Anolis sagrei: one gene and its partners. The protein of the gene in region 4 purifies or fractionates together with the protein of the main gene of each other region. This does not show direct contact. Links are inferred from orthologs where the notes say so. Each region holds a gene or a part of one and is shown on either strand. Other genes may lie near its edges.

What was found. The genes of interacting proteins can lie anywhere in the genome.
Region 1: the proteins of ITGB1 (region 4) and CANX purify together in Homo sapiens (affinity purification with mass spectrometry; 3 studies listed by BioGRID and IntAct, with this or other methods). This does not show direct contact. The link is inferred for Anolis sagrei from reciprocal best matches to the Homo sapiens genes ITGB1 and CANX.
Region 2: the proteins of ITGB1 (region 4) and ITGA9 purify together in Homo sapiens (affinity purification with mass spectrometry; 3 studies listed by BioGRID and IntAct, counting the BioPlex papers as one, with this or other methods). This does not show direct contact. The link is inferred for Anolis sagrei from reciprocal best matches to the Homo sapiens genes ITGB1 and ITGA9.
Region 3: the proteins of ITGB1 (region 4) and CD63 purify together in Homo sapiens (affinity purification with western blotting; 3 studies listed by BioGRID and IntAct, with this or other methods). This does not show direct contact. The link is inferred for Anolis sagrei from reciprocal best matches to the Homo sapiens genes ITGB1 and CD63.

The regions. Positions count from the first base shown.
Region 1 is NC_090022.1:86,866,371-86,873,478, forward strand, and holds the start of CANX (calnexin), read right to left. Parts: upstream 3,013-7,108; 5' UTR 2,928-3,012; intron 2,765-2,927; exon of another isoform or gene 2,741-2,764; intron 1-2,740. UniProt on the Homo sapiens protein: Calcium-binding protein that interacts with newly synthesized monoglucosylated glycoproteins in the endoplasmic reticulum. It may act in assisting protein assembly and/or in the retention within the ER of unassembled protein subunits.
Region 2 is NC_090026.1:73,095,808-73,103,115, forward strand, and holds the start of ITGA9 (integrin alpha-9), read right to left. Parts: upstream 3,013-7,308; 5' UTR 2,774-3,012; coding exon 2,604-2,773; intron 1-2,603. UniProt on the Homo sapiens protein: Integrin alpha-9/beta-1 (ITGA9:ITGB1) is a receptor for VCAM1, cytotactin and osteopontin. It recognizes the sequence A-E-I-D-G-I-E-L in cytotactin. ITGA9:ITGB1 may play a crucial role in SVEP1/polydom-mediated myoblast cell adhesion.
Region 3 is NC_090022.1:145,170,990-145,178,558, reverse strand, and holds the start of CD63 (CD63 antigen), read right to left. Parts: upstream 3,013-7,569; 5' UTR 2,908-3,012; intron 1,365-2,907; 5' UTR 1,349-1,364; coding exon 1,283-1,348; intron 1-1,282. UniProt on the Homo sapiens protein: Functions as a cell surface receptor for TIMP1 and plays a role in the activation of cellular signaling cascades. Plays a role in the activation of ITGB1 and integrin signaling, leading to the activation of AKT, FAK/PTK2 and MAP kinases.
Region 4 is NC_090026.1:112,675,171-112,683,186, forward strand, and holds the start of ITGB1 (integrin beta-1), read right to left. Parts: upstream 3,005-8,016; 5' UTR 2,769-3,004; coding exon 2,760-2,768; intron 1-2,759.

The DNA of each region.
Region 1 (7,108 bases), on a different chromosome or scaffold from region 4:
TGACCTTGCCTACCAAAAAGTTGATGGCTCGAATCTAGGGAGCGGGGTGAGCTCCCACTGTTAGCCCAAGCTTCTCCCAACCTAGCAATTCAAAAGCATGTAAATGTGAGGTCAATTGGTATCGCTTCTACGGGAAGGTAATGGCGCCCCATGCAGTCATGACCTGGCAGGAGTCTACGGACAACGCTGTCTCTTTTTCTTAGAAATTGAGATGAGCACCATACCCCAGCACCAGACACAAATAGACTTCATGTCAAGGGAAAACTTTTATCTTCTCCTACTAAGCTTTACAAGGTCTTGAACCTTCTCTGCCAAAAAAAAGGCTGGCTGCTTCCCCAAACTATGTCACCCAGGATTCCCATGGCAGTGAATGGGGTGTCAAACTGCATTCATTCCACAGGGGAGACACAGCTTGAGTAACACATGCACACATCCCACAATACACAGAATGTCAGAGTTTGCAGTTTCAATGCTGTGGGATCCTGGGAGTTGTAATGTGGTGAGGCACCAGCATTCTTGGGCAGAGGAGGTCTCGTAAAACCACAAGTCCCGCGATTCCATAGCCTTGAGCTGACAGAGTCCAAGGGGCGCCAGCGTCAAGCTATGGCATCTGCACCAATCCTGCAGTGTACTTATTTATTTGCGATATTTATATCCCACCCGTCTCACCCCAAAGAGGACTCAGAGTGGCTTACAAGTTATATGTACATTGTTGTTGTTCATTCGTTCAGTTGCTTCCGACTCTTCGTGACCTCATGGACCATCCCACGCCAGAGCTCCCTGTTGGCCGTCACTTCCCCCAACTCCTTCAGAGTCAAGCCAGTCCCTTCAAGGATACCATCCATTCATCTTGCCCTTGGTCAGCCCCTCTTCCTTTTTCCTTCCATTTTTCCCCAGCATTATTGTCTTCTCTAAGCTTTCCTTTCTTCTCATGATGTGGCCAAAGTACTTCATCTTTGCCTCTACTATCCTTCCCTCCAATGAGCAGTCGGGTTTTATTTCCTGAAGTATGGACTGGTTGGATCTTCTCGCAGTCCAAGGCACTCTCAGAACTTTCCCTCAACACCACAGTTCAAAAGCATCTATCTTCCTTCGCTCAGCCTTCCCTATGATCCAACTCTCACATCCGTAGGTGACAATGGGGAATATCACTGCTTTGACTATGCGGATCTTTGTTGCCAGTGTGATGTCTCTACTCTTCAGTATTTTATCAAGATTGGACATTGCTCTCCTCCCAAGAAGTAAGCGTCTTCTGGTTTGCTGGCTGCAGTCTGTGTCTGCAGAAAATTTTGCACCTAGAAATACAAAGTCTGTCACGGCCTCCACGTTTTCTCCCTCTGTTTGCCAGTTATCAATCAATCCGGTTGCCATAATCTTGGTTTTTTAGATGTTTAACTGCAATCCAGGTTTTGTGCTTTCTTCTTTCACCTTGATTAGAAGGCTCCTCGGCTCCTCCTCGCTTTCAACCATCAAAGTGGTATCATCTGCATATCTAAGGTTGTTAATGTTTCTTCCAGCAATTTTTACCCCAGCCTTGCATTCATCAAGCCCCGCACATAGCATGATGTGTTCTGCATACAAGTTGAATAGGCTGGGTGAGAGTCTACAATATATTATATTATTAGCATATTACAATATTAGTATGATATATTACTATATTGTACTATATCACTATACTTTATTATTATTAATATTACATGTAACATAATTATTATATCATTAATAGTGGGTTAAACCCCTGTGCCGGCAGGACTGAAGACTGACAGGTTGCAGGTTCGAATCCGGGGAGAGGCGGATGAGCTCCCTCTATCAGCTCCAGCTCCTCATGCGGGGACATGAGAGAAGCCTCCCACCAGGATGATAAAACATCAAATCATCTGGGCATCCCCTGGGCAACGTCCTTGCAGACGGCCAATTCTCTCACACCAGAAGCGACTTGCAGTTTCTCAGGTCGCTCCTGACACGACAAAAAAAATTTATGAGCACAGCACAATATTAGTATTATATATTACTATAGTTGCTGGGGGGAAGGGCTCTGATGACCCAGGAGACATGTTGGAACTGTCTTCCTGGCTCCCCTTCTTCACTCTGGACCCAGAGCAGCAATTGGTGCTGGGGGGATGGGCTCCGATGACCCAGGAGAGATGTTGGAACTGTCTTCCCTGCTCCCCTTCTTCACTCTGGACCCAGGGTTCCCAACTGATGACCCAAGAGACACGTTGGAACTGTCTTCCCTGCTCCCCTTGTTCAATCTGGACCCAGAGCAGTAATTGGTGCTGGAGAGGGGCTGCCAAACTGATGACCCAAGAGACATGGTGGAACTGTCTTCCTGGTTCCCTTTCTTCACTCTGAACCCAGAGCAGCAATTGGTGCTGGAGAGAGGAGCTCCCAACTGATGGCCCAGGAGACACGGTGGAAGTGTCTTCCTGGCTCTCCTCCCCAGTGCAGATACACAGGAGGCCCCCTCCCCGCTATGAGCAGCCCCTCCACAAAATGAAACACTCGCCCACCCCATCCCCTCCCCCCGTAAAAAGGCGAGGGGAGGTCCCTCAAGGTCCCACCCGAGAGGCGAAGAGATAAGCCACGCACAGGCCCGCAACGACACCTTCCCCCAAGAGGCCCGCTCTAGAAGGCCCTAGAAGTTTGGCCTGCGGAGGGACCCGGCGCTTCTCCCCCTCCCCCTTCTTTCTCTCTCCCTCATTCCAGCCCACTCAGTACCCACAGCCCCCAACGGACACACCCTCCGTGGGACACTTCGCCTCCCGCTCTTGCCGCCTCCAGTGCGTGCCCCAGAGTTCCCTGCGCGAGAGGAAGAGGGCCGCTCTCCTTCTCTCCCTCCACCCCCCCCCCTCATCCCCCGCCGCAACATTCTATCCCAGGCAGAAACGAAGGGAGGGCCTCCTCGCGGGAGATACTCTCTCACTCACCTCGCTCCACGCGCACAGCTCGCCCGCCGAGGCTCCTCCGAGAAACCCCCTCGCACCTCCTGCCGTCACGTGCCTCCGCCCGCGCGCGTTGGTCCGTTGCCTGCCTGCCTGCCTCACACTCTCTCCTCTCTCTCTCGCTCTCTCTCTCAGCCGCTAGCTCCGCCTCCCACGCCCCGAGACTTCCTACTCTCATTGATTCAGGCAAAGGGAGTCTTCCCGCCCCTCCGCTCTGATTGGTTAGACCACGCCATCACTCTCCGCCGCTCTCGCCTTAAGCCCCGTCCCTACGGCGCTGCCCTTCGTGGAGCGCTGCCATTGGCTGAGCGGCTCCGACGGAAGCGCCCGTGGGTTGGCGGGCGAGCCGGAGTAGGCGGAGCTTGAAGGACGAGGGAGCCTCTCCGTTCTTAAAGTGACAGGAGAGCGTACCTCCTGTGGACCGTAGTAAGAAGGAGTGGGCTGGCAGGGGCCTTGTGGGTGTCTGCTGCAGAGGGCCCTTCCAGACAGGCCCTATGTCCCAGGGCCTGATCCCAGGTTCAGATTATCTGGCAGTAGCAATTCTTATAATCCCGTTTAAAGCAGAACACCTGGGAATCAGATCCTCGAATATAGGGCCTTTCTGGAAGGGCCCTGAGACATTCAGAGCAGAATATAGTAATGAAGAGAATGCATTGGCATCAAGTGCAGACATATATAAGCGAGATTGGTGGGGACGAGGGACAGGGCCTTCTCTGTGGTGGCCCCCCGACTCTGGAACTCTCTCCCCAAGGACATCAGACAAGCCCCAACGTTGGCAGTCTTTAGGAATAGCTTAAAAGATGTGGTTGTTCCAGTGTGCATTCCCAGAATAGGAAACTCCAAGCATCATATCCCAAATGCACTTTATTAGAGATTTAAGATTGTCTGCATACCGCACCTATCTCCAAAAATCTATCCATTTCACCTGGTCATGTCCAGCATTTTTAAAATTTTTAATCATTACATTTGGCCCGGCCTTAGTTTTTAAATGTGTCATGGTGTTATTATCTAATGTTTATTGCTATTGTTTTAATGTTTATTGCTTTGTTTATTGTTGTATTTGTTATGCTGTTTTACTTATGTATTGGGCCTCGGCCTCTTGTAAGCTGCACCGAGTCCTTCGGGAGATGTTAGCGGGGTATAAAGGTTTATTATTATTATTATTATTATTATTATTATCTCTTGAAATTAACTCCTAAGCAGAGAACAATACTAAATAGTACACAATTGAACACCTAAACACCTAAAATATATGATCATCGCAATAAGAATAAAAATATTTGTTAACTGCCTCAAGGCTCACAGCATAAAACACATATATCAGAACACACCACTGTATCATACCCCAAAACATGGTAGTATATAAAGCTAGAGGTTTCTCCTGACATTAAGTCTAGTTGTGGCCAACTCAGGGGTGGGGTTTATCTAAGCCAAAGAGCTGGTGTTGTCCATAGACACCTTCAAGGTCATGCAGCCAGCACAACTGCATGGAGCACCATTACCTACCTACCTATTGATCTACTCACATTTGCATATTTTCAAACTGCCAGGTTGGCAGAAGCTGAGACTAACAGCAGGAGCTCACCCCGCTCCCCAGATTCGGTCAGCAAGTTCAGCAGCCCAGCAGTTTAACCCACCACACCACCAGGTTTACAAAGCAGCATATATAAATATAAACACTAAAATTGGATTAAACGTGGAAAATATTTACAATAAATAGTTAAAGCAGATTAAAATATATAAAACATTTCTCAGCATTCCTGATTCAGTCTTTAAAACTTTTTTTCTTTACAAGGGCCGGGTGTTATTTGCTTGGCTTTATAGTCCATGAATACCTTTGTCTAATAACATTTATTTTCTTGAAGCAAAGTGTGTCCCAAGGCCGTTTTTCCTCCGACTACCCTTATTCTGTCCAGCAGAAAAGACCTCTCTAATTGAAGCCTCTAGAAAAGGCAATTGCCCTTCACAAAAGAATTCATTTTCACCAAACTGCATTCAAAATATCAGATCTGGCAATATGTTCGCATTAAGTAAAATTACATCTTTCTCACCATCATTCCAATCCCAATGCTGTTTTAAAACATCCAGGTAGAAAGACGACAAGAAGAAAAAGGTTGCTCAGGGGAATACATGTTTTGTAAAAAATAAAAAAAAAAGAGCTTTGTTAACTGAAATATGTATGTGCTAATCTTGATATAAGCTTTGTAAAACTATGGCAATAAGTGTATAGCCTACTACCAGCTTTCGCTGATACACCATCTGTGCCCCTGCCTAGATTTGGATGACCTAAAGATGGTAGTGCATGCGCTGGTAACCTCAAGGATGAACTTCTACAGTGCCCTTTACACTGGGCTACCTTTGTACCAAGTTCAAAAGCACAGCAGACAGATTGGCTACAGGAACATTCGGGAGTTAGCATATTACACCTATCACAGAGTCAACGCATTAGCTGCCAATTAGTTTCCAGGCAAAACAAAAAGTGTTGGTTGTGATCTTTAAAGCCCTATTGTCAAAGGGCTTTAAAAGCCAGAATTTCGTGACCGGAATCACTGGGTTGTTGTAGGTTTTTTGTCCAACTGCAACTCCCAAAACTTCTCAAGATTAGCAAGGCTTTTGGGAATTGAATTTCCAACATCATGGAGGGACAGCCAATTGCTACCACTAGATTAAGCCAAGGTTCTGTTTCTACTTTGTAGTTTGGTTCTTAATTCCAACCACAATATTTAATTTCCTATTTAAATTCTTCACTTTTTCACCAGATGGCACTATTCACAAAGTCATGGGTCTGTTACTCAATACAATACTGTGCAAAGCTCCAACATTTTTTAAAAATATTTATTTTGCAATTAAGAGTGACTATATAGTGATAATTACGTGAGGAGTTGATTCAGTAAACACCACACCTATTGTCTAACCTGATGTTCTGGTTTAGTACTCCATTTCCGGGTGTTTGTGGACCCCCCCCCCCCCCCCATGTTTTAATACTGGTTAAAATAGTACAGCAAATTCATGTGTGAACAGAAGTCTAATTCAGTTACTTTTAAAACCATACAGAATGCTGCCCAACATTCAGCTGGAGTATTAATTTTTCTTGGGTGCAAAGAACTTACACCATGAATGCAGATTAGTGAGAGATGAAGCTTCTTAATCTTATTTATTTATGTATTTATGACATTTATATGCTGCCCTTCTCATACCGAAGGGGACTCAGAGTGGCTTACAAGATATAGATATATATACATACAATATATTATATTATTAGTGTAGTAAAATATCAGTATTATATTTACTATATTGTACTATACCATTATATTGTAATATTATTAGTATTGCATGTAATATAAAATATATAATTATAATAACATATTACTGTTATTAGTATTATATTGCATTATATTATATTGTTAAAACTATTATATGTATATACAATATATTATATTACATTATATTATATTATATTATTAGCATAGTACAGGAGACAAGGTGGAACTGTCTTCTGGCCCCCTCTCTCTTCACCCTGACCCAGAGCAGTAGTGGATGCGGAGGGAGGGAGCGGGGCTCCCAACTGATGACATAGCATAGGAGACAAGGTGGAACTGTCTTCCGGCCCCTTCTCTCTTCACTCTTCTTAAGCACTAGATGTGGACAGGGAAGGAGTTCACAGAGTGTAGCATAATTAGACTAAGTTTTATTGCACTCCCAGGTATATCTTTTTGTGAGATTTCAGGCCAAAAGGTAAAAACAGGCACTAACAAAAAGAAAAATATATGGTGGGAATAATTTAAATTATCCAAACAGCTGCTGTGCCAAGTCCCTACTAACACCATCTTTCAGATCAGCTGAGAAAGCTGTGCCGAGAGTGCCACACAGTCATATTGCCCACCAGCTTAACATATAATGCTTTATCAATTGTAACACCCTAGTTATGATACTTCTGCCAGAAATCCAGGTGTCCCCTACACAAATGGGTATTGTTTTAATTATGCCAAAAAATAAAAAGTGTTGTCTCCTACATTTTAAAAAAAATCTGGCATCATTTAAAAACATATCTATTTGTACAAAGTAAAGAAAAATATACATAATGTATACTCTTATAAATATCAGAACTTAGCAGTATGTTATTTTAGATATCTCTTAAGTGTAGACATAAGAAAATTGTGGGTCTG
Region 2 (7,308 bases), about 40 Mb from region 4:
TTCCACAGATATATAAACCTCCCTTGTCTAGTTTCCAACAGACCTCACAACCTCTGAGGATGCCTGCCATAGATGTGGGGGAAATATCAGGAGAGAATGCTTCTGGAATATGGCCAGACATCCCAGAAAACTCACAGCAACCTAGTGATTGCAGCCATGGAAGCCTTCCTTTACCGCCCAATGAGGTCAGATTGGATGGCCTTTGGGGCTCCTTTCCAACTGGATGGCCATCTATTGGGAGGACTTTGATGGTGTCTGCAAAAAGTGGTTGGGCTGGATGGCCTACAGGGCCCCTTTAACTACCATGGCTCAATGCTGTGGAATAATTCCATGGTGTAGACCAGGTAGGGGCAGACTTGAGCCCTCCAGGGGTTTTGGATTCCAACTCCCACAATTCCTAACAGCCTTCCTAACAGCCTTTTGGGGTTGGAGTTGTTTTTGTCAGTGTGTTTTTCAGTGTTTTTATGAGTGATGGTCACTCATTGGCCTGATAGGTGTCATGTGTCCAAATTTGGTGTCAATTCGCCCAGTGGTTTTTGAGTTATGTTAATCCCACGAACATTACATTTTTATTTATATAGATTTACTAGCCATCCCCTGCCATGTGTTGCTGTGGCCTACTCTGGTGGTCATGGGGGTTCTGTGTGGGAGGTTTGGCCCAATTCTATGGTTGGTGGGGTTTAGAATGCTCTGTGATTGTAGGTGAACTACAAATCCCAGCAACCACAACTCCCAAATGTCAAGATTCTATTTCCCCAAACTCCACCAGTGTTCACATTTGGGCATATGGATTATTTGTGCCAAGTTTGGTCCAGATCCATCATTGTTTGAGTCCACAGTGCTCTCGGGATGTAGGTGAACTACAACTCCAAAACCAAAGAACACTGCCCACCAAACCCTTCCAGTATTTTCTGTTGGTCATGGGAGAACTGTGTACCAAATTTGGTTCAATTCCATCACTGCTGGAGTTCAAAATGCTCTTTGATTGTAGGTGAATTATAAATCCCAGCAACTACAACTCCCAAATGACAAAATCAATTTTTTTGAGTGAAGGACATACATTGGGTTGTTAGGTGTCTTATGTCCAAATTTGGTGTCAATCTGTCCAGTGGTTTTTGAGTTCTGTTAGTCCCACAAACGAACATTACCTTTTTATTTATATAGATTTATTTACGCTATTTCTATCCTGCTCCTATCAGCCCAAAGGCGACTCAGTGCGGCGTACAGAGTTGCACAATTCGATGCCATATATAAAATACATACATTGATAAAAAGCAGAAAAAGAAATGTACTGTCGAAGGATTTCATGGCCGGAATGACTAGGTTGTAGGTTTTTTCAGGCTATATAGCCATATACATATACATATACATATACATATATATATATACACACTAGCTGTCCCCTGCCACGCGTTGCTGTGGCCACATGGGGGTTCTGTGTAGGAGGTTTGGCCCAATTCTATCATTGGTGGGGTTCAGAATGCTCTGTGATTGTAGGTGAACTATAAATCCCAGCAAGTATAACTCGCAAATGTCAAGGTCTATTTTCCCCAAACTCCATCTGTGCTCATATTTAGGCGTATTGAGTGCTTGTGCCAAGTTTAGTCCAGATCCATCACTGTTTGAGTCCACAGTGATCTCTAGATGTAGGTGAACTACAACTCCCAAACTCAAGGTCAATGCCCACCAAACCCTTCCAGTATTTTCTGTTGGTCATGGGAGTTCTGTGTGCCAAGTTTGGTACAATTCCATTGTCGACGGAGTTCAGAATGCTCTTTGATTATAGGTGAACTATAAATCCCAGCAACTACAACTCCCAAATGAGAAAATAATAATTTTTGAGTGATGGTCACTCCTTGTGTTGTGAGACGTTTTGTTGCCAAATTTGGTGTGATTTCGTTCATTGTTTCTTTTGTTTTTAAGGTACTCATTATGCACAGAGTATTTATATATATATATAGATATATATAGCCATATATATATATGGCCATATAGCCAAAAAAAACCTACAACAACCCAGAAAAAGAAACATTACAGTACATTTAATCAATAAATCAGGGCCAGCTAACACCTTCCAACAAAGGTGTTCCCCTGGCAGCAATCAGCCGGGCTTTGAAGCTGCAAGGCCATTTGATGCTAATCAAAGTGGCCAATTGCAACATTCAAGCAGAGGAGAGTTCTTTCTCCCACCCAGGGCTTTCCACAGATATATAAACCTCACTTGCCTCAGAGGCCTCACAACCTCTGAGGTTGTCTGCCATAGATGTGAGCGAAACGTCAGGAGAGAATGCTTCTGGAACATGGCCAGAAAACTCACAGCAACGCAGTGATTGTGGCCATGGAAGCTTTCAGCAACACATGACTCCAAGATCCCTTGGACTGTGATCTGAGCCATTACATGTCTATTGGCTAAGTGTAGCACAGCATGCAAGAAAACCCTTGAAGTTGGGATGGAGAAGGAAGCAGGAGGGAAGCTGGAAGCGAGGGCCAGAAGATGAGGGCGCTCCCTCTCACTCCCACCGGGAAGCCCGGCCTTGGGAAGCAGGCTCAATGCCTCCTTCTGGGGTCCAAGGAAGGAAAGGGAGGGCGACGCTGCGACTCACCATCTCGTGCTATCGTAGTAATGCTCCAGCACGGAGTAGCCGAAGAAAGAGTTGTTGGGTCCCTGGAAGATCACGGGGCGCTCCAGGTCGATGTTGTAGGAGGAGACGGACGCCACGGAGAACAGCCAGAGCAGCCCCTTCAAGCCCCGCCGGAGCCGCCCCGCCATCATGCTCCCCGGCGCAAAGGGGGCTCCCCACGTCCCTCCTCTTCAGTCCTCTTCCCTCCTCCGGGGTCCCGGTCTCAGTTCAGATGCGGAAGAAGCCCCCCAAAGCACGCCTCCGCCCGCGAGAGACGCAACTGTAGGGCAGGCTTCCCGGGTAGAGTCCGATGCCGCAGAGAGACCCCTGCCGCCGCTATGAGAAGCGCCAGAGCACGCAGCCGGGCTCACTTTGGGACTCTCCTGGCTCTGCCCCGCTGAGACTTTCCGCTCCCCTCCCACCACCCAGCCTGGCCTCGCAGCCAAAGCCGGCCCCGCAGCGCCCTCTACCGGCCGCTCTTAGATTCTCTCTGGACCAGAGGCGAACTGCAGGCCAGGGCTGGAATTGGATCAGAGCTGGTTTGGGTTTGGTTTAGACCAGGGGTCCTTAAACCATTTAAACCAAACTTTTTAAACAGAGGGCCAGGTCACAGTCCCTCAAACTGTTGGAGGGCCGGATTATAATTTGAAAAAAGCATGAATGAATTCCTATGCACGCTGCATATATTTTATTTGTAGTGGAAACGGCACTTAAAAACAGTACAATAATTAAAATGCAGTACAATTTTAACAAGTGTAAACTGACTAGTATTTCAGTGGGAAGTGTGGGCCTACTTTTTTTTTTTTTGGTCGTGTCAGGAGCAACCGCTTCTATTGTGAGAGAATTGGCCATCTGCAAAGACGTTGTCCAGGGTTCTCTCATGTCCCCGCATGAGGAGCTGGAGCTAATAGAGGGAGCTCATCCGCCTCTCCCCGGATTCGAACCTGCGACCTGTCGGTCTTCAGTCCTGCCGGTACAGTGCTTTAACCCACTGTGCCACTGGGGGCTCCTTTTGGCTGATGAGATAGGATTGTTGTTGTTGTTATTGTGTGTTTCATAGAATCATAGAATCAAAGAGTTGGAAGAGACGTCATGGGCCATCCAGTCCAACCCCCTGCCAAGAAGCAGGAATATTGCATTCAAATCACCCCTGACAGATGGCCATCCAGCCTCTGTTTAAAAGCTTCCAAAGAAGGAGCTTCCACCACACTCCGGGGCAGAGAGTTCCACTGCTGAACGGCTCTCACAGTCAGGAAGTTCTTCCTCATGTTCAGATGGAATCTCCTCAGATGGAATTTCAAGTAGTTTCAGACTTAGGTTGACCCTGAGCGAGGGCCGGGTAAATGACCTTGGAGGGCCGTAGTTTGAGGACCCCTGATTTAAACAGAGCGCCAGGTCACAGTCCCTCAAACTGCTGGAAGGCCGGATTATAATGTGAAAAAAAAATGAATGAATTCCTATGCACACTGCACATATCTTATTTGTAGTGCAAAAAATACTTCAAAACAATACAATAATTAAAATGAAGAACAATTTTAACAAATATAAACTTACTAGGCGTCCCCTGCCATGCGTTGCTGTGGCCCACATGGGGGTTCTGTATGGGAGGTTTGGCCCAATTCTATCGTCGGTGGGGTTCAGAATGCTCTGTGATTGTAGGTGAATTACAACTCCCAAATGTCAAGATTCTATTTTCCCTAAACTCCACCAGAGTTCACATTTGGGCATATAGAGTATTTGTGTGGAGTTTTGTCCAGATCCATCATTATTTGAGTCCACAGTGCTCTCAGGAAGTAGGTGAACTACAACTCCAAAACCAAAGGACACTGCCCACCAAACCCTTCCAGTATTTTCTGTTCGTCATGGGAGAACTGTGTGTCAAGTTTGGTTCAATTCCATCATTGGTGGAGTCCAGAATGCTCTTTGATTATAGGTGAACTATAACAAAGATTAGCTCAAAGCCAAACTTAAAAACTCTGGCATAGACACTGCGATCTGGGAAGCCCTGGCCCTTGAGCGCTCCAGCTGGAGGTCAGCTGTGACCGGCAGTGCTGCAGAATTTGAAGAGGCACGAATGGAGGGCGAAAGAGAAATGTGCCAAGAGGAAGGCCCATCAAGCCAACCCCGACCAGGGCCACCTTCCACCTGGAAACTAATGCCCTCACTGCGTGAGAAGATGCAGATCAAGAATAGGGCTCCACAGTGACCTACGGACCTACTGCCAGTACACTGATCTTGTAAGACTATCCTACTCGGACAACGAAGGATTGCCTAACTAAGTAAGTAAGGGCTCAGATATCCCAGGGTTGACACTCAGCCAGATCGGGTGAGATTCATTTCTTGGGTCTGAACGCAGCTTTCCCAGCTCAAGTTGACTACACAACTCTTGAACTTTGGTATAATTAACACGTATGGTATTTAAGAAGCAGGACTATAGATTAAGTTGGAGCTGGAAGAACTCCAATTGGTTTTAGAAAATGACTGTTTCTCAGATAATAAAATTCCTATTGGTTTTGAAGTCGTTTTTCAGTCATGGACCTCAGCATAGTACTTTCCTCATACAATCATTAGTGGATTCCATTGTTTCGATGCCCCAAACCTGGTGAAATAAGCTTCTTTCTCCAGGGAAATGAACTCATTTATCCTGAACTCATAAACCTTTAAGTGCTGTTCCTTGTTTTCCACTTGAGCTTATTGACATCAGTCATGTACCTGCATGAGCCCCAAACTGTAATAACAATCAAAAAGATCAACATGAGTCATAGGCCAAGAAACTTTAGCTATTATTCGTGAAAATCATCCTCTTTTACAGTCTTGCACTGCACTTCCTCAACCTTGAGCTCTAAGTTCTTAAATCCCAGATTTAAGTTGTCCAATTCCATGTCTGACATTTTTTCACGCATTGTAAACTAAGCCTGCAACTACTTAAATGCAAAAACTTAATAATTTGTTCAGTCAAGTGTCTTCAATAGAGTTCACACAGATTTTACAGACTCTGCGGCATTATTTTAAATTAAAAATCAAAATAGTACCCATCGTGAGATAGAACAAAAAGTTATTTACATCCAGGAATTTTCTCCAACTGCTGTTCATTGCTCTGTATGGCTTCTGAGATTTCACAGCCATTGATGACAAGTAGGCCTGTGATATTTACTTGTGTTTGGTTCCAGGACCCTCTATGATATCAAAAGCCATGGGTACTCTAGTCCCATTTTATGCAATGGTGTTATAAAATAATTTCCTGTATATAAAATGAAAAAATCAAGGCGTGCTTTTTAGATGTTTAAAAAATATTTTCAAGCTGTGGGTGGTTGAATTTCTGGATGCAGAATTCATGGATATGGAAGGATATAAAAAGATATAAAAAGTTCTCAATAAGTTTCAGAAACCAACAATCTATTTATATATTTGTATCTATCTATATCCATAATAAAAGTGAAAATGTGTATGTCTGTTTGTGGCTGGGATGCCCACTTCCACAAACAGATTTAACCCACAATGCTGAGGAGCCACCAAAAGCCCTCTCTTCAATGACATTTCAGATCATAGCGAGCACCATGAACATGTAGCCCAACCCCTTCCAATGTCCTCCCCAACACCATACTCCACACCACCCAAGGAATGCTTCCATTCAGTGACAATTTTATCCTAGATTTTATGTGTTTCCTGCACCACAGACATCCCAGTGTTTCTTACTCTCTACATTGGTGTAGAGAGTACACAATTTGTATGATCCCGTCCACTGCCTCTCCGCTGACCCTTTCCTACTCTTTCCAATTCTGCCTGCATAACAACAGAGCAGACTAATCAGCAACTAAACATACTAGAGGGGTCTGGGAGTATGACTCCACATGACAGAAGTTGTAGTTCACCCTACATCAAGTCAGAGCACTGTGACCCCCACTGACAATAGACCTGGACCACATTTGGTACACAGAACCCCCATGACCAAACAAAGATACTGCAAAAGTTTTGGGGGAATTCACCTTGATTTGTAGCCATTGTAGTTACTGGGATTAATGGTTCACCTGCAATCAAAGAGCACCTGGACCCCACCAATGACGGTCCTGGACCTCACTTGGCACACAGAACCCTCATGATCAACCAAAAATACAGGAGGGCTTTGGGGAAAATTAATCTTGATTTATAAGAATTATAGTTCACTCACATCCAGAGAGCACTGTGAATGCAAACAACGATGGATCTGCATACCTGATATGCCAAAATGTAGGGAAGAATTGGCATTGACATTCGTTAGTTGTAGGTACTGGGATTTATAGTTCAACTGCAATCGAAGAGCACTCAGCACCTCACCGATTATGGACCTGGACCTATGATGGACCAGACCTAACTTGGCACACAGAACCCCCATGACCAACTGAATGTACTAGAGCAGGGGTCCTCAAACTACGGCCCAGGGGCCGAATACGGCCCTCCAAGGTCATTTACCCTGCCCTCACTCAGGGTCAACCTAAGTCTGAAATGACTTGAAAGCACACAACAACAACAATCCTATCTCATCAGCCAAAAGCAGGCCCACTCTTCCCAATGAAATACTAATAAGTTTATATTTGTTTAAATTGTTCTTCATTTTAATTATTGTATTGTTCTAAAGTGTTTTTTGCACTACAAATAAAATATGTGCACCGTGCATAGGAATTCATTCATTTTTTTCCAAATAATAATC
Region 3 (7,569 bases), on a different chromosome or scaffold from region 4:
GGGAGGCTTCTTTCATGTCCCCACGAGGAGCTGGAGCTGATAGAGGGAGCTCATCCGCGCTCTCCCCAGATTCGAACCTGTGACCGGTCAGCCTTCAGTCCTGCCAGCACAGGGGTTTAACCCACTGTGCCACCGGGGGCTCCTGGGATATAGGGCAGTGTAGATCCAGCCTCAAGGCCCTTCCACAGGCCCTATATCCCAGGATCTGATCCCAGATTATCTGGCAGTGTAGACTCATATAATCCAGTTCAAAACAGATAATCTGGGATCAGATCCTGGGATTTAGGGCAGTGTAGATCTAGCCTCAAAGGCCCTTCTAGACAGGTTCTATATCCCAGGATCTGATCCTAGATTTTCTGCTTTAAACTGGATTATATGAGTTTATACTGCCAGATAATTTGGGAGCAGATCCTGGGATACAGGACAGTGTAGATCCAGCCTCAGGGTCCTTCCAGATAGGCCCTATATCCCAGGATCTGATACCAAGTTTTCTGCTTTAAACTGGATTATATGAGTCCACACTGCCAGATAATCTGGGATAAACAGAAAAACTGGGATCAGATCCTGGGATATAGGGTCTGTATGGAAGGGCCCTCAGAGGAAGGAACTGGCCAAACTGCCATTGAGTATTCCCTGCCTAAAAAAAACCTCACAAAATTCATGGGGTCACCAGTTGACAAGTGACCTGAAGACACATACAAAACATCCTCGAAAGGCAAATGAAGTTCATTGTTGTCTTTGTGCTGAACCCTAAAGGGAGAAATTTGATAATCATCGAGTTGTTTTTGATTCAAAGGTAAACTCATCCCACATCATAGCAGAACAGGGGGAAATTATTACCTTTTTTAAAAATCAAGTATGCAAAGTATTTTGGCATCACTTTTAGTACAAAGACATATGCATCTCCAAAGCTGGATGCCTAGAATTCTCCAGCAGATAAATGATGGTACTTAAGAGATTTAAAGTACGATGAGAAGCACATTTATTATGTACGTATGTAGGAGTCCCAAAGGATTATAACACAGCTAAGGATGCACAGCTCTTGTGATGGGAACTTACTACTAGCACTTATAGAGAAAAGAAGGAAAGCCATCAAGGAAACGGAGCAACAACTCGGAGTTAATTCAGCCTTTAAAGGTTAATTGCCCAAAGTGGAACAAAGCGCCTTGGCTGCTGAAGAGGCCAAGCAAACCCAGCCCAGAGCTTTTGATGGCGGAGGGAGGAAAGGAGGACAAAACAAGCCCCATAACCTCTCCCTCCTCCCCTACTTCCACTGACTTACCCAGAATATGAAATTGAAGAAGAAGACCAGGAACTTCACACACTTCATGCCGCCTTCGACGCCCATTTTGCCTTATTCGTCCCTGTGAGGAGGGAAAAAACAGAACAGAAGTGGCGTTAAGAGTTCAAGCCTCGCCGAAGGAGGAAGGAAAGGGAAGCTGGGAAAAGAAGATGGGCGTTTTGAAGCCTATCATGGAGGCTGGGAAAAGGAAAAACAGGAAACTTGGAGGAGACAGCCTGAGGCAGAAAGCGGGAGGAGAGGAAGAGTAGGGATTCCAGTAAACCTGGGCCCGGTTTCCTCAAGGGCTGGGTTTCATGTAAATCCTTTCAGGATACATATGTATCAGAAAGAGATTGCCAGGAGGAAGTTGGGGGAGATTCAGATACAAGGGACACACTCTCTCCACCAAGGCGGAATTTTCCAGTTTCCCTACTCCCACGCAAACAGTCAGGGGTGGCCACACTGTAGAATTAACACACTTTGATATCACTGCTACGCAATCACAGGAGTTTGACAAGGGTTTTTTTCCGTCTTCTCTGCCAAAGTATAACTCACCAAAGTGTAACTCCCAGGGTTCAAATAGCATGAAAGTGGCATATAAATAAAGGGGGGTATAAATATTATTATTACCATTATTATCAAAGTGCATCAATTCTACAGTGTAGATCAGACATGGGCCAACTTGGGTCCTAAGCGGCTGAGGGGGGAAAGGAAAGGGCCTGAGGCTGTTAGGGATTGTGGGAATTGAAGTCCAAAGCACCTGGAGGGAGGACCCAAGTTGGCCCATGTCTGGTGTAGATGCAGCCAGAGTTCTTGAAAGTTGGAAGAGACCATAAGGGCCATCTAGTCCAACTCCGAAGGGAAAGCACAATCAAAGCATCCCCAGCAGATGGCCGTCCTGCCTCTGTTTAACAACATGGCACAAGAGAACCCACTTTAGAATCACAGAATCTTAAGAGTTGGAAGAGACCTCCTGGGCCATCCAGTCCAACCCCCTGCCAAGAAGCAGGAAAATTGCATTCAAAGCACCCCCGACAGATGGCCATCCCACCTCTGTTTAACAACGTGGCACAAGAGAACCCACTTTAGAATCACAGAATTGGAAGAGACCTCATGGGCCATCCAGTCCAACTCCTTTCCAAGAAGCAGGAAAATCACATACAGAGCACCCCCGACAGATGGCCATCCAGCCTCTGTTAAAAGCTTCCAAAGGAGGAGCCTCTACCACACTCCGGGGCAGAGAGTTCCACTGCTGAACAACTCTCACAGTCAGGAAGTTCTTCCTCATGTTCAGATGTAATCTCCTTTCTTGTAGTTTCTCTCTTCTCTCCCCTTTCCCCAGCACTATCAAGGCTGGGAAAGCCCCAACATAGAACTCCGGCCTCACTCCAAGGATTCTGGAGTTGGGAGGGAACCCCAAGGGCCATCCAGCCCGACCCAATTCTGCCACCATCCAAACACTCCCGACAGATGGCCGTCCAGCTGGACAAACTTCCAGGGAAGGCGCCAAATCCAAGGAAGCGACATAAGAGTCTAAATAACAATTTCTTCTTTCTCCTTTCTGTAGAAATCTAGATTCCCGCGTTAAAAAAGGACCCCCTCCCTCTTTTACTATTATTTTTTACCTTGCCACTTCCTGCTCCTGGAAAGCAACCCAATAACAAGAGCACCGCAGGATCCAAAGGGGCAGGACTGAGCCCAGCCCCAGCGCCTCGCCTTCTTATAGCCGGCCCCCTCCTCGCGCTCCCCTGAAGCCACGCCCCCCTCCCGAGTCACCGCCCCCTCCCCGCGAGACGGAGCTCCCCCTCCGCTGCTCCTCACGTGACCTGGAGGGAAGGAGGGGAGGGGGCTGACTCAACAGGAAAAGGAGGGAAAAGGAGGGGGAGCATGGGGGTCAAAGGCAAGAAGAGCACCCCATCCAGACACTTAGAGTCTAATGGTCATGGCTCAATGCTATGGAATAATGGGAGTGGCATTTCCACAAGGTCTTTAACCTTTCTCTTCCAAAGAGCGCTGGGACCTCCCCAAACTACAAATCTCAGGATCCCACAGCCTTCAGCCTTTGTGACTTGAAGCGGGCTCAGGCAGCCTTTATTCTGCAGTGTATTACACAATGAGGCACGATTTTAAATGTCATTTCCTAATGGGTTCAATGCTATAATAAACATGGGAAAAGTTGATTAAACTGCCAAAACTTTATTTTTGCCGTGACATCTTGCAACACATTTTGATATAGTTTTCAATTAATAATAATGATGATGATTTTTTTGGTCATGTCAGGAGCGACTTGAGAAACTGCAAGTCGCTTCTGGTGTGAGAGAATTGGCTGTCTGCAAGGACATTGCCCAGGGGATGCCTGGGTGATTTGATGTTTTTATCATCCTTGTGGGAGGCTTCTCTCATGTCCCCGCATGGGGAGCTGGAGCTGACAGAGGGAGCTCATCCGCCTCTTCCTGGATTCGAACCTGCGACCTGTTGGTCTTCAGTCCTGACGGCACAGGGGTTTAACCCACTGCGCTGACACCGGGGGCTCAAGATGATGGGGGCCCAATTACCTTCCTCCCTCTCCCCTTCCCCATCTCACCTCCCTCACCGCCCAATTACCTTCCTCCCTCTCCCCTTCCCCATCTCACCTCCCTCTCACATCATACGACGATTTTCCCACCCTTTCTATCCATTTCATTGTTCCCACTCTTTCACTGTATAAAGAGAAAATCCAGAAAATTTAATAAAAAAAAAAAGATGATGATGATGAATTTTATTTATACCCCGCTACCATCTCCCCAAAGGGGACTCAGGGCAGCTTACATGAGGTCAAACCCAGTAGTGCATTACTACAGAATACAACCAAAAGCACAGAATAAACATCGCAATACATAAAACATAAGAATACAATAGTACAGTGCAAAAATATAGTGAGAGATAAATCACAATAAGCGGGCCACATGTACAAGATAAAATGATAATAACTCAGGATTAGTTAGAAATGGAACAAAAATGTTTGCGAGGGAGAAGCTCATTGGAAATGGAGTAGTGGAGACAGGCCTTCAAACAGGCAGGGGGAAGTACAGTATGGGGGCAAAACATCTCCTACAGCACTGGTTCCCAATCATTTTTTGACCAGGGGCCACTTGAACAGGGACCAGTAATAATAATAATAATAATAATAATAATAATAATAATAATAATAAATATGAAACTTTATTTATACTCCGTTACCATCTCCCAAGGGACTCGGTGCGGCTTACATAAGGCCAAGCCCACAATACATCAATAATAAAAGCAATAACAAACAACAATACAAAACAATAAAATAAAAACTCATTAAAAATAAGCAATAAACATTAACAGCCACACAGGGACGTTTAAAAACCTATGGCTGGGCCAAATGTAATAATTAAAATTTAAAAATAATGCTGAGCATGAAAAGATGAAATAGGAGCTAGATAGAGTTTTTAGAGAGGGATGGGGCGTGCAGACACTCCTAGATCCATAGTAAAGTGCATTTAGAGGACCACTCCCCAACATTAATACCAAAAGGGTTACAAATTAGTTTTTGGTCTTCAACAATACATTGTTTTTGGTCAACTTTAGATTTAAATTTGCTCCAGCAGAGAAGCATTGTCTTGTTGTGGTGCTGGGGCTTGAGCACCTCAATGATGCCACGAGCGAAACTGTAAAGGGACACCCAAGACGGGAAGGTCGTGGCAGAGAGGTCAGACTAAATGCGATCCCTGGGGAAGGTAATGGCAACCCACCCCAGTACTGTTGCCATGAAAACTAAATGGATCAGTACAACTAGAGATATGTCGGTATGCCATCAAAAGATGGGACTCCCAGGTTGGAAGATGGGGAGGAGCAGAGGATTAAGTTCAACTAGCCCCAGATGTGATGACGCAGCTAACTCAAAGCCAAAAGGAAGGCTAGCAGCCAACGGTGCTGGAGGTGAACGACGAATCCAATGTTCTTAAGATCAACACACTATAGGCCTTGAAGGGATTGGCTTGACCTTGAAGGAGCTGGGGGGTGGCCACGTCCAACAGGGAGCTCTGGCGTGGGCTTGTCCATGAGGTCACGAAGAGTTGGAAGCAACTGAACAAATAAACAACAAAGATTTGGTTTGGTTATTTGAGGTGCTGCTTCAGAAAATTGCATTGAATAGACCACATCAGCTCTAGTTTCTGCTACAGGACATATGCTATCCAGTAGTCACCATCTGCTTGCCTATACAAAACCATATTTAATAATGTAGTGCTGATGTGGTAGTAGTAGTAATCTTTTGTAGGTAATCAGTCTCTCCCCTCCCGACATCATTGTTGCCTCGTCACTATAAGAGGGTTTCGCAAAACCAGTTGCTCTCGTTGCTGTGTGGTTTTGAGGCAACAGTGTAGTAATGGTGAGGCTGCAGACCATATTTGCATTATTGTGGACCACTGGTGGTCCACGGACCACAAATTGGGAACCACTGTCCTAGAGTCTCAAACAATTCAACATAGTTTGTCGCCGCCACATAAACAGTTTCTATAATATGACAACTGCTTTCAAAGTAAGGACCATACAATTAAACAGGAAGGAACACTTTCAAACCGGGAACAGAAATGTTTCAAATTTTATTATATAGTGTTATGCTTCCAGAGTTTTGGAACACTTGAACAGCTAAATTTGAATTAGAAAAGTGGATCCAAGTGAGAAAAAATATATCAAAGAGGCAATTCCATATCCTGAGCCAAAAAGGAGGGCTTGTGGCTGCAAGCAAAATAAATGTTTCACTAAACAGAAGTAGCCCAAGTTTGCAGGCGCTTTCATTTGTTGCACTGAAAGCAGTCTCAATTAGAAAAATGGAAGTTATGTTTGAAAGGCAGCTGCCATTATTCCCCAGACTGATGAGCCTGAGACTCTAAACAAAGCTGAGGGCTTTCTTGGACTACAATTAACTCCACCAGATACATGGAAACCTCCACTGGTATGTTCAGAGACTCCTAGGGCCCTTCCACACAGCCATATAATCCAGAATGTCAAGGCAGAAAATCCCACATTATTTGCTTTGAACTTGGATATATGGCAGTGTAGACTCAGGGCCCTGCCACACAGCACTCTATCCCAGAATATCAAGGCAGAAAATCACACATTATCTGAGTGTGACTCAGATAACCCAGTTCAAAGCAGATATTGTGGGATTTTCTGTCGATATTCTGGGATATAGGGCTGTGTGGAAGGGCCCCTAGAGTTGGAAGAGAGCCCAAGGTCATCTAGTCCAACCCCATTCTGCCATGCAATAATAGACCCAAAGCACTCCTGATAGATGGCCACCTAGCTTATGCTTAAAACCCCCAGAGAAGTTTTACAGCTCTTACTGTGGTCTCCTGATATGTACATAGAATCTCTTTCCCTTTAGTTTTCCTGATTCTATTGCTCTTTTCCAAAATCTTCCCTGGAACTGATGTCAGGCTGATTGGACTGTAATTTATTGTGCCCTCCTTTTTCCCCTTCTCTCCAAGAATCCTCTAAGATTATTACCAGTGATTACTGAAATCAGCTTTCTTAAAAGTCTAAAATGAATGTTTCACTATGCTTGGATTTCCCCTTTGAACTGGATAACAGACTCCAGGAGATCATGGTCAGTCCCGCCTAAGCAACCTAGCACTTCCATCCCATTAGTCTCATCTTCACTGTTAGTTAGGATCCCCTTCTTGCCTCTTCCACCTTCTGTATAATATAATTGTTAGCAAAGCAGGTGAGAGATTAGTTGGAGCTGTTATCCAAAAATATCAGGATAGTTCGAATCTTTCATTATTACTAGATATATCCCTCCTTTTTGAAGGCGTAATCATCTGTTCCAGGAAGGCATAATACAAATCCAGAGTCTGGGGCTTGCTGTTATGTGAATGTGCCTTTGGGTTACCAGTTGGTTTATGATGAAATGAATGCATGCATTTCATAAGGTTTTCTCAGGCAAGGAATACCCAGAGGTTGTTTGTTATTTCTTTCTTCTGAAATATAGCCCCCAGCACATGATATACATTGGCAACTTCCCTGCTATGTACTAACCAGAGCAAACCCTTCCACGATCACATGGGATCTGGTGCCTTTAGGGTATTTATACACATTGCCAACATATGAGGCAACTGGAGTTAGTTAAGTGAATGAACTGAAATGCCACAAACAAAAAAGTAATTGTTATTTTAACAGTGGTTTTAACCATCTCTACAGCTGAAGAAGTAGGTTGATATCACAAGAGCTTACGCTGAAAGAGATGAATTAAAAGACGCTGCTAGATTCCATGTCCT
Region 4 (8,016 bases):
AGTAATGCAGCTTGACAGCACTTTAACTGCCCTGGCTCAAGGACAAGGAATCATGGGCCTTGTAGTTTAGTGAGGCACCAGCCCTCTTTGGCAGAGAAAGCTAAAGACGTTGTCAAACACCTTCCACTATTCCATTGCCTTGAGCCATGGCAGTTCAAGTGGTGTCAAACTGCATTCATTTTACAGTACAGACGCACCCCAAAACTTCTCCAATTACATCCTGCCCTTTCCCTCCTCTTTTCCCTTTCAAAGGCACATTATGCTAACATCACTGATACCAAAACAGACAAAGGGTTGGAAGCCAAGCACTAATAAGAGGAGCATTGAGGGAGGGAGATGGATATGTTTAGCTTGGAGAAAAGGAGATGGAGAGGGGACATGAGAGCTATATTTACATATTTGAAAGGATGTTCCAATGAAGACCACTGCCCTGGATACTAGGGGCGCTTCCACAGAGCCATATAGCCCAGAATGTCAAGGCAGATAATTCACAATATTTGCTTTCAACTGGATTATCTGACAGTCCTTCCAGGCCTCTTCCACACGGCTGAATAAAATTCCACATTATCTGCTTTGAACTGGGATATATGGCAGTTCAAAGCAGATATTGTGGGATTTTCTGCCTTTATATTCTGGATTATATGGCTGTGTGGAAGGGCCCCCACTCAGGCTCTATATCCCAGGATCTGATGCCAGGTTTTCCGCATTAAACTGGATTATAGGAGTCTCCACTGCAAAATAATCTGGGATAAACAGAAAACCTGGAATTTTTTTTCTGTGTCATGTGCAACTTGAGAAACTGCAAGTTGCTTCTGGGGTGAGACAATTGACCGTTTGCAAGGATCTTGCCCAAAGGATGCCCAGATGTTTTGCGTTCCTGTGGGAGGCTTCTCTCATGGGCCTGCATGAGAAGCTGGAGCTAACAGACAGGAGCTCACCCTGCTTTCCAGATTCAAACTGCTGACTTTTATGGTCAGCAGTTCTGTAGGCACAAGGGTTTACCCCAATGGGTTTCAACCTATGAGTCCCCAGGGTCCTTCCACACAGCCCTATATCCTAGAATATCAAGGCAGAAAATCCCAAAATATCTGCTTTCTACTGGGTTATTTGAGTCCACACTCAGATAATGTGGGATTTTCTGCCTTGATATTCTGGGATATAGGGCTGTGTGGAAGGGCCCTCAGATACTTTGGTCTTCAACTCCCAGAAATCCTAACAGCTGGTAAACTGGCTGGGATTTCTGGGAGTTGTAGGCCAAAACACCTGGGGACCCACAGCTTGAGAACCACTGGTTTAACCCACTACGCCACTGGGGATCAGATCCTGGGATATAGGGCCTGTCTGATAGGGTCCTAAGTCCACACCGCCATATAACCTAGGGTCTTTCCACACAGCCCTATATTCCATAATATCAAGGCGGAAAATCCCACGATATCTGCTTTGAACTGGGCTATCTGAGTCCACACTCAGATAATATGGGATTTTTTGCAATGATATCTGGGATATAAGGCTGTGTGGAAGGGCCCTTAATTCAAAGCAGATAATGTGGGATTTTATACAGCTAAGTGGAAGGGGCCCTAGGGGCCTTCCACACAGTCCTATAACTCAGAATATCAAGAGAGGAAATCCCACATTATCTGAGTGTGGATGCAGATAACCCAGTTGAAAGCAGATATTGTGGGATTTTCTGCCTTAATGTTCTTGGGGCCCTTCCACACAGCTAGGGCTATAGGGATATAGGTATCCCAGAATATCAAGGCAGGAAATGTCACATTTTCTGAGTGTGGACTCTGATTACCCAGTTCAAAGCAGATACTGTGGGATTTTCTGCCTTAATGTTCTGGGGGCCCTTCCACACAACCCTATATCCCAAAATATCAAGGCAGGAAATCCCACATTTTCTGAGTGTGGACTCTGATAACCCAGTTCAAAGCAGATATTGTGGGATTTTCTGCCATGATATTCTGGGGTATAGGGCTATATAGAAGGGGCCTTAGCCAGGGAGCAATGGATTCAAATTGCAGGAAAAGAAATCCCATTTAAACAATAGGAAAAACTCCCTGACTGTTGAATAGAATACCCAACCTCGGGGTTTGGTGGCGTCTCCTTCTCTGGAGACTGAAACTGGATGGCTATCTGTCGGGAGTGCTTTGATTGTGCCTTCCTGCGTGTCAGAATGGGCTTGGACTGGATGGCCCTTGTGGTCTCTCCCAACTCTGTGATTTAGAGGTGGCAGAAGCCTTTGCAGCCTGGGTTCCTATGGAAGGAAAGTAGAGCCACAATGAATCAGTTCGCCCACAAATCCGAACTTTGCCGCAACACTGTTGCCTCAAAGGGAGGTGGGATAAAATGTCCCGGTTGTTTCAAGCAGGTGGGAAGGAGGGAAGGCGAGGGAAGGGAAGGGAAGGGCTGGGATGGCCTCCCAACACGAGTCCAGCAATGCCTCTGCCACGCCTTGGCCTCCCTCCTTTCCTCCCAGAAGCTACAAAGACAAGAAGGCCATTAGAAGTTGCGTTAATCCATAGAGAGCAGGCTTGGGCAAACTTGGGCCCTCCAGGTGTTTTGGACTTCAACTCCCACCATTCCTAACAGCCTACTACAGCTCCCAGAAGCCCCCAGCCTGCATTCGCAGGCTGGGGGCTTCTGGGAGCTGTAGTAGACTGTTAGGAATGGTGGGAGTTGAAGTCCAAAACACCTGGAGGGCCCAAGTTTGTCCAGGCCACATGTAGTTGCACCTCAAGGAAGCAGAGTCCTCTTACTTGGGCCATGGCGGCGGTGGCTCTTCCCTGAAGCCTCTCCTCCTTCTCCTCTCTTCTCCTTCCTCTCCAAGGGAGGCCCAACTCTGCGCCTCAAGGCTGGGAAGGGCCAGCAGAAGCGCCTTCCTCCCTGCCTTCCTCCTCTGTCCTCCGGAGCCAGGCCGCCTCTTCAGGGCCGGGGAGAGGAGGGCCAGGCCCAGCTCGCTTCTCTGGCCGCCTCCGGAAACGCATTCCTGGCTGCTGCCGTCAGGCTCGGGGCGGAGCGCTGCCTCGTCGAGGAGGAGGAGGAGGAGGAGGAGCGGGGCTTCCCCTCTCGCCGCCGTCTTGGAAGGGAGGCGCCTCCAGGGCAAGCTCTGCTGCGCCTCCAGGAAGCCGGCTTTGGCCGCCAACTCCACGACTTCAGCCCCATACCGCTTTGGCTCAAGGCTGAGGGAGCCTGGGATTCGTAGCTTGGGGAGGCACCCGCCTCTTTGGGCAGAGAACTTCCACAACAACAACTTCCACAATCCCCTGCCATTGAAAAGTGGTGCCAAACTGCATCACTTCTCCTTTGTCCACTCTTTAGGGAGAGTTAGGCCTCACAAGGCACTAAGGGAAGCATGGGAAAACCCAGGCATGGGGGCCGGATGCGGCAGACCTTTGGGCTCTTTTCACAGCCCTCCCCCCTCATGATCCTGCCTCCTCCCCCCCCCTCTCCCTACCTCCTTCTTTCCCTTCCACCCTTTCATGCTTCCTTCCCTCCCTCCTTCGCCCTCTCTCCTTCCTTCTTTCCTTCCCTCCCTTTTGTCTTCCCTTCCTTCTTTCCTCTTACCCTTCCTCCCTTCCCTTCCACCTTCCTTCTTTCCTCTTTCCTTCCTTCCTTCTCTCTTTCCTGCCTCCTTCCCTTCCCGTTTCCTCCCTCTTTCTTTCCTTTCCACCCTTTCATCCTTCCTTCCCTCCCGCCCTCCTTCGCCCTCTCTCCTTCCTTCCTTCTCTCTTTCCTCCCACCCTTCCTTCCCTTCCACCTCCCTTCTTTCCATACATCTTTCCTTCCTTCTCTCTTTCTTGACTCCTTCCCTTCCCTTTTCCTCCCTCTTTCTCCCTCCCTCCTTCTGTCCCTTCCACCCTTTCAGCCTTCCTTCCCTCTTTCCTCCCTCCTTCCCCATCTCTCCTTCCTTCTTTCCTTCCTTCCTTCTCTCTTTCCACCTTCCTTCCCTCCCCTTCCACCCATCTTTCCTTCCATCCATCCATCTTTCCTTCCTCTCTTTTTCCTTCCTTCTTTGGGGATGTTTAGCTGGGAGAAGAGATGTTAGAGAGGAAACATGAAGCCATGTTTCAAGATTTCAAAGGGTGCCTCATTGAGGAGGAAGGGGGGGGGGGAGACTCACTTTCTGCTGCTCTAAAGACCAGGGCACCAAGGGAGCAATGAATTCAAATGGTAGGGAAAGAGATTCTACTGAAAAGATGAGGAAGAACTTCCTGAGTGTGAGAGCTCTTGCAGAGTGGCATAGTCTGCCTACAAGTGTGGTGGAGTCTCCTTCTCTGGGGGCTTTTCCGCAGAGGCTATCTCTCAAGAATGCTTTGATTGTGCCTTTTTGCATGGCAGGGGGTTGGACTGTATGGTCCTTGGGGGATCTCTTCCAGCTTTAGGATTCTATATCAGGATTCTATACAGTGTCTAATGGATAGACTTTTTCTCTCCTGTTCACCCTCTCATCCTGATCAAGGCCAACCCTTTTGGGATCCAAACATTTCCTGTATTTCCATCACTTTCTGCCTCTGAAAGAGAAGAGGAAAGGGCAGCAAGGGGACTTAGAGAGAACCCCCTCCTTCCTGCCCCCCAATCCCGCTCTGGCTCGCCATGCAGACCCTAATTTAGAAAGTTTACCCATGCCTAATATATATCAAGATGTACTAGAAGGGGCCTAAAGTGTTGCTTCACCTGTTTCCTTCACCTCCATTTCCATTTTGAGTCTCAGTCCTCTTGTCCCAAGCCTCACAAAATTTGGGAAGCTTTCTTCTGGAAGTTTAGGATCCCATGCAAACTCTGTGCTCATAACAACCCAGAATTAATGCCGGTAGTGTTTCCTAGTGCATTTATAGAATGAATGCAATGTGACACCACTTCAAACCTTCCTTGCTCAATGCTAAGAAATTCTGGGAGCTGAAATTTTACAAACTCCAGCCTTCTCTGCCCAAAAGCGATGGTGCCTCACCAAACTACATGGTCTATAATTCCGTAGCCTTGAGCTTTGGCAATTCAAGATGTTGTCAAACAGTGTTCATTCTACAGGGCACATCCACACTTCAGGGGAAATTAGGCCTCACAAAGCACATTGGTGTTGCTGCACCCTTTCCATTTGCCTTCTTGGCTATCAGGAATCACTGCTCTCTTTTCCTATGCCTCAGTAAATCCAGGGTGCCTCTACACTGTAGAATTATTGCAGTTTGACACCACTTGAACTACCATGGCTCCATTCTATGGCATCGTGAGAGTTGTAATTTGGTGAGACAACATTCTTTGTCAGGGGAGGCAAAAGGCTTTTTATGGAGAGAAAAAGCAGAGTATAAACAAACATACTAATAATAAACATAATAATAATAATAAACATAATATTATTATTAATAATACAACTGCAAAGCCTCTGGCACAAGCCAGTCAAGGTGGTCCCAGTGGTGATCGGCAAACTGGGTGCAGTGCCTAAAGACCTTGGCCTGCACTTAAACACAATCGGTGCTGACAAAATCACCATCTGTCAGCTGCAAAAGGCCACCTTACTGGGATCTGCATGCATTATTCGCCAATACATCACACAGCCCTAGACACTTGGGAAGTGTCTGACTTGTGATCCAATACAACAACCAGCAGAGTGTTCTTGTTTGTTGTGGACTTATCTTGTTGTGTTTCAATAATAATTGCATAGTGACAATTCTCAGGATTCCATAGCATTAAGTCATGGCTGTTCAAGTGGTGTAGAACTGCATTGGGTCTCAATCAAGAGATAAAAGCAGATAATAATAATAATAATAATAATAATAATATTTCTACAGTGTAGAGATGCACCCCAAGTCTTTGGCTTTCTTTGCCAAAAAGTTCAGGTGCTTCACTAAACTACAACTCCTAGGATTCCACAGCATTGAGTCACAACATTTAAAGTGATGTCAAGTTGCATTCATGCTGCACTGTAGAGATGCACCCTTAATCAGACATATAGAAGGAAAGCAGAGCTCTACTAACTTGCTTTTTGTTGGTGTGGGATTTTAATAACTGCTTGCATTTAGAGTTTGACTGGTGGGAGCCTTTGTTTCTTTGTTGCAAGAAGTGTCTGTTTCTTCGTTGCATGGTTTTGTCTTTGGGAGGAAACTGAAATCTGTTTTGTATCCAGCTTCTAGTCTGGACCCATCAGCAATCAGTCCTGTTCTCTGTCTTTATTATTATTATTATTAATGACCAGTTTTGGAGCTTTTATTTCTTCCCTGTTCTCTCTATATGTGTTGTCTTGAAGGTGGTTGTCGATGTTCACGTAGCCTAAAGAGTTATTCCAAAGTACATTATTTATCATTTACTTGGTATGACAAATATACTAGCTTGTTATTTTTGTATTCCTGCCCCCAACAGACACTTCTACATGGATTGGTAGAGAAAAAAGCAGCCCTTCCTGCTCTTTTCATTTGGAATATCACTGAAGAGCCTTGAAAAGGCGAATTCTCTTCCCTGTTTCCCTGTTTTTCTGTTGAACAGTCATCAAAGAAGAACTTCACTATCTATTCCAGACACTTAAGTAGTTTACTGTGTGCCATAAAGGGTATATTAAGCATAGAAACAGTAACCTTAATCACCATGTCTACTATTGCTAATGTCTGTTGATGATCAAGAAACTGGATATTTCTGCAGCCAACCGCTTTCATTCTTTTCTGGAAAACACAACACAAGGTTTGGCATTGGGACACAGTAAAATACCAAGGATGCTTGCTTAGCATGCCTGGATAAAAACAGAATATTTCTGCTATCATAACACAACTGACCAAATTTTGCATCTCAAGTGACAGTTTGGATTGAAATGCAGCCATCGTAAAGATTGACTGAGGTTTATAGATATCTCCAACTTTCCACTTTCATATAAACAATCAGTAATATGTGCTGCGTTTTCTTAGAAGTAATTCCTGCTGGCTGTTTCTAATTACTATTTCCACTAGAGTAGGTCAAATATTTTAGGGTTTGAAAAAAACTAGGAAATCATATTCATGCTCAACATTAACCTAATATTTTGGGTTTACAAAAACAACTGAAAACATTTTTAATTAACATGTTATTTCATTAGTATCAAGGATATCTGAATAGGCGTGTTGATGGCATATTACTCATGTTTCTCCAGGTTTGATAGCAAAACTATGATTGAATTATATTCTTATTGTATTTCTGTAGTGATGCCTAGTTTGTGAAGTGATATATTATTGCAGCGTTTCTCAACTTTCCTAATGCCATGACCACTGAATGCAGTTACTCATGTTATGGTGATCCCCAACCATAAAAGTATTTTTGTTGCTACTGCATAGCTGTATTTTTGCTGCTGTTATGAATTGTATTGTAAATATCCGATAGGCAGGATGTATTTTCATTCACTGGACCAAATTTGGCACAGATACTTGATATGCCTAAATTTGAAGATTGGGGTGGGGGAAGATTGATTTTGTCATTTGGGAGTTGTAGTTGCTGGGATTTATAGTTAACCTACAATCAAAGAGCATTCTGAACTCCACCAATGATGGAATTGAACAAACTTGGCACACAGAACTTCCATGACCAACAGAAAATACTGGAAGAGTTTGGTGGGCATTATTCTTGAGTTTTGGAGTTATAGTTCACCTACATCCAGAGAGCACTGTGGACTCAAACAATGATAGATCTGAACTAAACTTGGCATGGATACTCAATATGCCCAAACGTGAACACTGATGGCATTTGGGAAAAATAGACCTAGACATTTTCGAATTGTAGTTGCTGGGATTTATAGTTCATCTACAATCAAAAAGCATTCTGAACCCCACCAATAATAGAATTGGGCCAAACTTCCTACACAGAACCTCCATGACCAACAGAAAATACTGTGTTTTCTGATGGTCTTTGGAGACCCCTCTGACCCCCCCCCCCACGACCCCCCAGTTGGGAAACGCTGTATTATTGCTAAGTGTGCTCCAAGCCCTATTAGCAAAATGTGTGCGTGTGTCAGTTCACATTTTCAATTTTTTAAAATAAAAAAAATGATCATGCCTTAATAAA